Oreochromis niloticus: one gene and its partner. The protein of the gene in region 2 interacts with the protein of the main gene of each other region in a pairwise test. Links are inferred from orthologs where the notes say so. Each region holds a gene or a part of one and is shown on either strand. Other genes may lie near its edges. The genes, in order: rasa1a and dlc1.

The links.
Region 1: the proteins of dlc1 (region 2) and rasa1a interact in binary tests that used the Homo sapiens proteins (3 or more experiments, as listed by UniProt). The link is inferred for Oreochromis niloticus from reciprocal best matches to the Homo sapiens genes DLC1 and RASA1.

What each region holds. Positions count from the first base shown.
Region 1 is NC_031977.2:16,144,616-16,148,536, forward strand, and holds the start of rasa1a (ras GTPase-activating protein 1), read right to left. Parts: upstream 2,797-3,921; 5' UTR 2,092-2,796; coding exon 1,556-2,091; intron 1-1,555. UniProt on the Homo sapiens protein: Inhibitory regulator of the Ras-cyclic AMP pathway. Stimulates the GTPase of normal but not oncogenic Ras p21; this stimulation may be further increased in the presence of NCK1.
Region 2 is NC_031971.2:21,092,412-21,096,332, reverse strand, and holds the start of dlc1 (rho GTPase-activating protein 7), read right to left. Parts: upstream 2,630-3,921; 5' UTR 2,196-2,629; intron 1,266-2,195; 5' UTR 1,202-1,265; coding exon 1-1,201. UniProt on the Homo sapiens protein: Functions as a GTPase-activating protein for the small GTPases RHOA, RHOB, RHOC and CDC42, terminating their downstream signaling.

The DNA of each region.
Region 1 (3,921 bases), on a different chromosome or scaffold from region 2:
TGACAGTACCCACAATTAGTCAGATGCTTTCTAAAGTACAGTGCTTAGGCGGAATTTACTGTGCTACAGACAAGAAAAGAAAAAAGGTTTGCAAATGCTTTGTTTTAAGTTTTAGTTCACTTCAATCACAGGCAAAATATTTAGACACGATGACCATTCTCTCAGAGCATTGTAAATTGGTTGTAAGTAGACAGTTGTGCAGCAAAGCAGAAACAAGATTTTCTACTTCCCATGTAGCATTACAGAGAACTATGCACTTTTCTGTTATCTACTATTTATAGTAAAGTGTATAGCTTTGTGTCAAATGCACAGGCATTGATTTTAATGTATCTGGGCCAATAGTGCCAAGGGTTCTTGCCAGCCTAAAACTTAAGCCTAAAACAAGAAAAACGCTATGTTTAATCAAAGAAAAAAAGTTGCTTTGGAAGTATTTGTGCATCCCCTGAGTTCAAATTGTCACAATTGTCACCAACGGCACCTGGAATGAAGTTGGTCTCCATACAATTGTTGATTTAGGTTTTTGATACAACAGAAAAAGAAAGAGAGGCTAAGGAGCTTGGATTAAAAAGCAACTGGAGTTCTTTAAGTTTCTTAAAGACATTTCACCTCTTATCTGAGAAGTGTCTTCAATTCTGAAAGAACTATTCAAAGAAAGTGTCTCGATATGTATATACTGACTTTATCCAAACTTAATGATTTCTCATCTTCTTCCAAAAACATAAAAACTACAAAAAAATGGAACAGTGCCCAGAGTTAATCACACTACATAGAGGCTGAATGTTAAGCTGAAAGATTACATGGAACAGGAAACGAAAAACCTACCGAGTTCACTTGAAAGAAATCTAAAAACAACAACAAAGCTCAAATAAGCCTGGACAACTGCTGCAGTGGACAATTTTGAATGTTCTTAATCGCTCAGTTTCACTGCATCACAAAGAAGTTCTTTGTATACCATGACTTCTCTGCAGAATGGGCAAAGCTGAAGGACCAACAACAGCATGAACGTGAACAAAAGCGCCCGCACTACCAGTTGTCCCACATGTTTTTGACAGCAATTTTGTTACTGTTACACTGTATTACTCAGTGTTGATTACTGTGTTTACTGTGTATATACATAATACTTGTTCTGCTTGGGTGATCCTGTGAAATGAGGCTATGCTGACAACAGCTGTCCAAGTCAATTATTGATATGTAGTAGTCCATTGTGAGAATGTTTATAAGGGCATTTACTATAAGTGAATCAGCTCTCTGTAAAAATAATGAACAGGCATTACTACTGTGTTGCTAGGGTTTCTATTTCATATTGAATCTCCTGTCAATTCAATTTGATCTCAGTTATTTCAGTGCTTTCTAGAATAACAGGTGTGCAAACGCACAACAGATGTATTTTAGGTAATGTATCTTGGGAAACTGGCATTATTTCAAAGCCACATCTACCAAATATACCTCAAGTGCAAAACAGGAAGGCTATGAAAACGCAATACAATAAATAAATTGCTTAAGTGTTTCTATTTTCTAGCAGTCATAGACGTCACTTAACTTGTGGTTTACTTACTGGTTAGTGGGAGGTGCAGAGAGTGGGAACGTCACCTCTTCTTCGTCGATTTCCATCCCATCTTGCATGTCGCTTTCATCCATAGTGCCACCGAGCCCCCCACAGCTAGGAGGCGGAGGAGGTGGTGGTGGAAGTGGTGGGAAGACAGTGGGCCCATCCGGGCCTGTTGATGTGGGTGAGATCCGACTAGCTGGACCCTCCATAGTTGGAGAGCAGCACATGCCGCCCACTGTCCCTGAGCTTGTTCCTTGAAAAACTGAATATCCACCTCCTGCTACGCCACTCCCTGCTCCGGTCATATCCCCACTAGGCATGGAGGAATAGATCATATTAATCTCTGAAAGGGAGTCCGGAGATGTGTTTGAATGCTGTCGGGTGGCTGGTGCCGGCACTTGCCCCAAATCAGTGGTTCGGACTCTGCTCGGCTTGGGATAGTATGGGAAAGGGGCCGCCGTCTCCGGGCCTCCTCCGCCTGCCACCCCTGTCCCTGTCGCGACCGAGCCCGTATCCTCACTGCTGACCTCCGCTGCCATCATAGTAGAAAAATACGTAGAGGGGAGAAAGTCCAGAAGGGAACCTGCCCTTCCCCTCTGTTTTCACAATAATCCCTCGGTGTTTGGGCTCCTGGGAAACAACACCAAAAGTTTCTCAAAAACGCGTTCAGGTAGCCGGCTAATGTTAGCCAACAGCTAACTTAGCTTACTTGGCTGCACTAGCGGGCGTTAGCTTCGCCTCGCATTCGCTCCCTGCAAAAATCACCGAGCTAACGCTAGCGGGACAGCTAGCAGCTTCGAGACACTTGATGAGTTCTTGCTCGCTATGTCTTCATTGTTTCCTGAGTTTAGAGTTCACGCAGAAACACTACTTGAGATTAACCGTTACAATACTTCCAACAGAATATCACTTCACCTATATTTCCTGTTGGTATTTTTGAGACTGGGGGGATGTTCGGACTTCACCCTCGGCACCAAAGCAGACCACTTGTCGATGAGTGTTGTTTTATTGTCACTGTTGTGTGTAATCCCCTTCTTTTTTCCCAGTGTTGTTTTCTTCAGTTTTAAACCGTCTCCAGTAGCGTTCCCAGACGACTTCAGCCTTATCGCCTATATCCCCGGAGCGGCATGTTGTTCTCCGCGTACTGCCATGTCGTTTACCAACATTTATTATCTGCGTACAAGCTTTATTTCTGGGTTTCGGGGCTGGTGGCTTGCCCGCTGCTGCGCTGCTCTTGTCTCCCCTCCCTCTCCAGTGTTGCCAACTCCTCAGTAAGGAAAATCGCTATTGGCTGTCCTAAAAGTCGCTAGAAGTCGCTAAATGACGTCATCACCTAATTTGCATAATTGGTCACGCTAATATAATTGTAACCTATGTTGTTGGAGAGAGAAATAACACCATGGAAGAGACATAAAGTGAGTAAAAAACGTCTTAAATGCATTTAGAGTTTATTTAGAACTACAAATTAAATTTCTTTTAGCAATTATTGTTTTTTTAATGTCACAATTCCAACCCTGCTCCTTTACCCGGGCTTGGACTGGCAAAAGTGACCCGAAATTGGCACTCTGGTGGAGTTACTTTGTGTGTGTGTGTTTATAAGTAGTTTTAAACCTTGTGATCCACAAAACAGCATAAGAGTAAAAGATTAAAAGAAGAACTGACTGTGTTACAGCACCCGCTGCTTGTTGAGAGTAAAAGCGATAAGCGCTTTCACGTCTTTTTTTAGCGACTTTTTATAGAAAAAAAGTCGCTAGGGGGTCTGAAAACTCGCTAAATATAGCGACAAAGTCGCTAAGTTGGCAACACTGTCCCTCTCCCACTCCTCTCCAGTTAAAGATCAGACACAGCTAAGTGAACACAGAGCGGAACTTTTTTTCCCCCAAATTTAATCCATGGCATCTTCAATCACGTTAAATCTTATTAAGTTGAATAAAATGTGATATTGTCCTTGTTACGTAAATAAAATATAGAATCTCATAATGGTTTGTTTTTTCTTACCAGAGGGGTCAGAGGGTCTCAGTGGCCGCAGAAAACAAGACAAGTAGCAGAGTAAAATCAGTCCTCTAGATATTTTTCTGCAAATAATCTCTTGCTGAACTACTATACTGTGGCAGGAAATGTTTACACCTTTGATCTGCTGTTTTTTAACACGTCAGCAACACTGAACAAGTTTCACTAGTTATCAGATAAGCGGCTCTGTACAATAAACAGAAAAGAGTAATTAAAAAAACACTTAATGGCAGGATTTATTTACAGCTCCCATTTTAATCTACAACTGCAAAAAGATTTGTTTTTTTTTTTATTGTACCTCTTATTCTTGCTTCCATACAAGAACACAGTGATTCAAAATCTCACGTGATGTTATCAGTTAA
Region 2 (3,921 bases):
ATGATTTAATAGGCCTGACGGGTCCTGTTTTCTCGCTGCTTTCTGCTTGTGCATTTTTCTCTCCCTGGGGCCTGCTCTCCGCTAACATTTCAACATTGTGCTGCTCCAACAATGTCTGGTTGGATATTTCCCAACCATGATCCTTATCCAATGGTCCAGCACAGTCTTCATGGCCCCGCTCTTCTCCTATAGTGACTCTTGAGAGACAGCTCAGTCCTGTATTTTCATTTAGAGTTTCTAGGTCACTCAATCCATCTTGCTTGTCAGCAGAACATGCACTCCGGCTCTCAGATATTCCTTTGCCACATTCTCCATCTGCTACTAATGATTCCACAGTTTTGTTGATTAGCGACAGTGCTTCACCACCCTCCATATTTGCTGAGCTTTGCAGAGCATTCATACCAGGCTGGTCAGAGGTGACAGTGTTGCTGTCCTCAACATCTGGGAGGTCGGTTTGAGGTTCCTGTTCGCCGGCAGAGCACCAGTTTACTGTGACCCCACTGATTTCAGGAGGTCTGCTGTAACCCTCTGTATGGCTCTCCTTTGTATCCTGATGGTTTGGAACTTTGCCAGGTTGCTCACCAGCACATTCGGACAATGGAGGCACATTGTTGGGAGAGATAGAGACGTATTGTTGGTGAGAGATATGTGCACTTTTTAAGACACTGACATCGCACATGCTGTGATTCTGGCAACTTTCTGTCCCCAAATCACTTTTATTATCAGTCTTATCACTGCTACGAGTTGCACAAGAAATATTTGCACTAGACATACCACTGTTTGAATTACAAAACTCTCCAAAATTCCCAGGGTTTGTGGTTTGGAGATCCTGTGAGTCAGAGTCAGTTTTTGGGAGTATGCCAGCACCCACCAACTCATAAGACCGATCCACTGACTCCTGCAAATCCTTTCCATTGTTTTCCATTAGTTTTAAGTGTTCCAGTTCAGTATCGTCATTCATCGCAGAAGCTCCCCCTTCACAAGTCTGAGCAAGGTCATCTATAGGCAGCTGGTGGCATCCCTCTGGCATAGAGGAACACCTCGCCCGTCTACCTTGTTTCGAACCCGCAGAACCCATCCATAGCCCATCGCCTTCGACCCCATGACAGCAGACGAGATCCAGATCATCGTAGCTGTACTGTAATCCTGATGGGTGAGTCACATGCTCCTCCCAGCTTCTTTTACGTATGGCTACCGGCATAATGGGCAGCCAGTGCTATCCCATAAAGCTGCTTTTGATGCCAGGTTAAATAGAAGGACCAGATCTGGTACAACAACAGGAGAAAAGGAGATAAGAAAGAGGCAGTGTTGCAAAGTTTTCACTTTGCAGGAGCTGAACGTACAAATAACGCTTCAACTTTCAAGTAAGCAACCAAAGTGTATTAATTTAACCCAGGAAACCAATTTCTTTTGAAGCAGAGTTTTTCCATATTTCAGCTTGGCAACTACAAGTAAACTACTCTGATCTCTAACAATTGTTTAATTTTTTAAGACTGAGAAAGCTTAAATCGTTGAGATTAATGTAGACATCCCTCCGATTGTTTATCTTATCACAAACAGGAAACTGTAAACAAAGCCGTTTGTCAGATTTGCACCATTTTAACAGTGAAAAAAAACTTTCTGAAAAAGTGCTGGGTGTTGGTTAACAGTCTTTCTGCACCCATTCACCTTCAAAAATAAGAGACTGAAGTAGATTGAAGTAAAACTGGAACAGAATCCAACACTATCACAGAACCAAGTGCAGGTCTTATCACAGAATTCAAACTAACATGTACTGCATTACACTGCTCTGTGTTTTTTCTTCCTTTTGTGGCTGATTTCAATGTATAGATGTGAAGAAATAGTGTAAATCATGCAAGATTTACACTACTCCATAAATCTGCTATGTGTCGAGACAGACAAATAAAAGCTTTTGATTAAAGAGAACCATTCTGTACTACGTAAATAACACAATTCAAAACAACATAGAATAGCCGTCTTAAGTAGTCTGTGACAAAGAATCAGACTTTGTTAAGTGTATTGAAAGTATTTTAAAAATGGAAGACCTGCTTGAAGAGTTTCTTTTCCCAAAATTTCATTTTAAGACATAAGGATGATGGTTCTAACTGCCATTTGCACCCTTTGGCACAAACATGTACCTGATTTGGTTATATGTAAAGTAAGGGAAAGGTCCAAAAAGCAGTCGCTCCTCTTACTTGCACTCCAACGAACAGCTGACAGCCGAACTCCACATTCTACAGTGGAGGAACACTGATGTTTACTTCTCATAAATACTCCAGTGATGACACATTGTTTAGCAACATAATCTAAAAGCTTTTGTGGAAATCCAGAAGTGGAATATGTAATCCAACCCGAAGATTGCAGATCAATTAGTTCCTGAAATGCAGTTTGTCAAGAGATGTTTCTCAAGCTGACTTTTCATTCATCCATCAAATGAAATCTGTCCACGTTTGGGAAATTTAAATTCACTCTTTCCAAGCAAGAAGTCCTTACTTTAAGCTTCTACGAGCCATTTTCTAGACTCGAGTCAGTATCTTCGCTGTAAAACTGTTGGACAGGCACTGAAGCCCCCAGAGGAAGGCAGAAAGCCGGGAAGCAGTGAAAAGTCCATGGACAACTTCCATCTTGATCACATTATGGTTTTTGCTGACGCTGAACGCTCAAGAGTCGAGGTGGTGTAAGAGGGCTGGGTTTTCTTTTCCCCCGGCCCTCCCTTCTCTCCTCCGCTCTATCCTTTTTTCTCATCAGGTCCCCTCCCCGCTGGTTTTGACAGTGAGTCTGAGTCACATCTTAGAAGCCCCATCCCCCGTCTCACAACTCTCTAAGCACACCATACACTCCACCCTCCTCTACTGTACACTCGCTACTCGCTATTTCAGAAATATTGCTTCTCTTTTCAGGAGACATTTTCTTCATTCTTCTTTAGCTCCCTATTTCACCAAGCTGGGCAGGAGGAGTTGGCTTTGATTAGTAACAGACAGGCTGCTTCGTAAGACTTCGGGCTGCGAGCCAACTGAGATTGCTCTAATGTTTTGGCAGTTATATCTGCAGCAAATTTGTCATCTTGTAACTACAAGTACTCTTAGATAAAAATACTGGCACTCATGAAAAAAATACAAGGCAAGATATCTTTATAGTTAATCTGGTTGGGGGAGGTGTTTAAAAATACACTAAAATGGTAAATCATATTTCAGCATTTATAATAATGGAGACGGCTTTAAAAGTGCTATGAACCTGACAATTTTCTTTTCAAGGAGATTAAGTGGGAAGAAAAAAAATTATTTAGGACCAAAATACCAGCAATTCATTTCCTAATATAGTAATTTCTCTGTGAAACACTTTGCAGAAAGGAAGGGCAAAGCTGGCAATGACTGCGCTTTATATCACAAAGACCAACTGACATAATTTGTTTTTAAACCCATAGTGGAAGTAGGTGCTGAATATTTCATTTGGAAAGCCTGGACCAATTGAAAACCTCAAAATGTAAGTAATCTCCTAATTTCACTAAAAATCCAGCCATGATCAGATTTATAATGAGTGTTTTTGTGTTGGGGTTTTTTTCTGGGCGGGGGGCGTAGTTGGGTCAGCTGCATACCAACAGGGACAGTCCAAGCACAAGAGAAAACTGGAATGAAGCCCCTTCCAACTATCTCTCTAACCCCAGCCTCTAACCTCTGGGTCATCCAGATGTGAGTCGAAGCTTTGGATGAGTCTTTTCTTAGGGGCTGCACTGGGAAACTGTGCACTACCATAAATGTTGACTCTCCGGGGACACAGATGGTCGAACTCAAGGGCAAGCCATCCAAGTACAACAAGACTCTGCTGTTGCATGTCACATGATGCACTCTGCACACCAAGTGCCATGTAATGAAATGCAGATTTTTTTCGGTCACAGAAGCTTCTATGTGGATACGGTTGGTG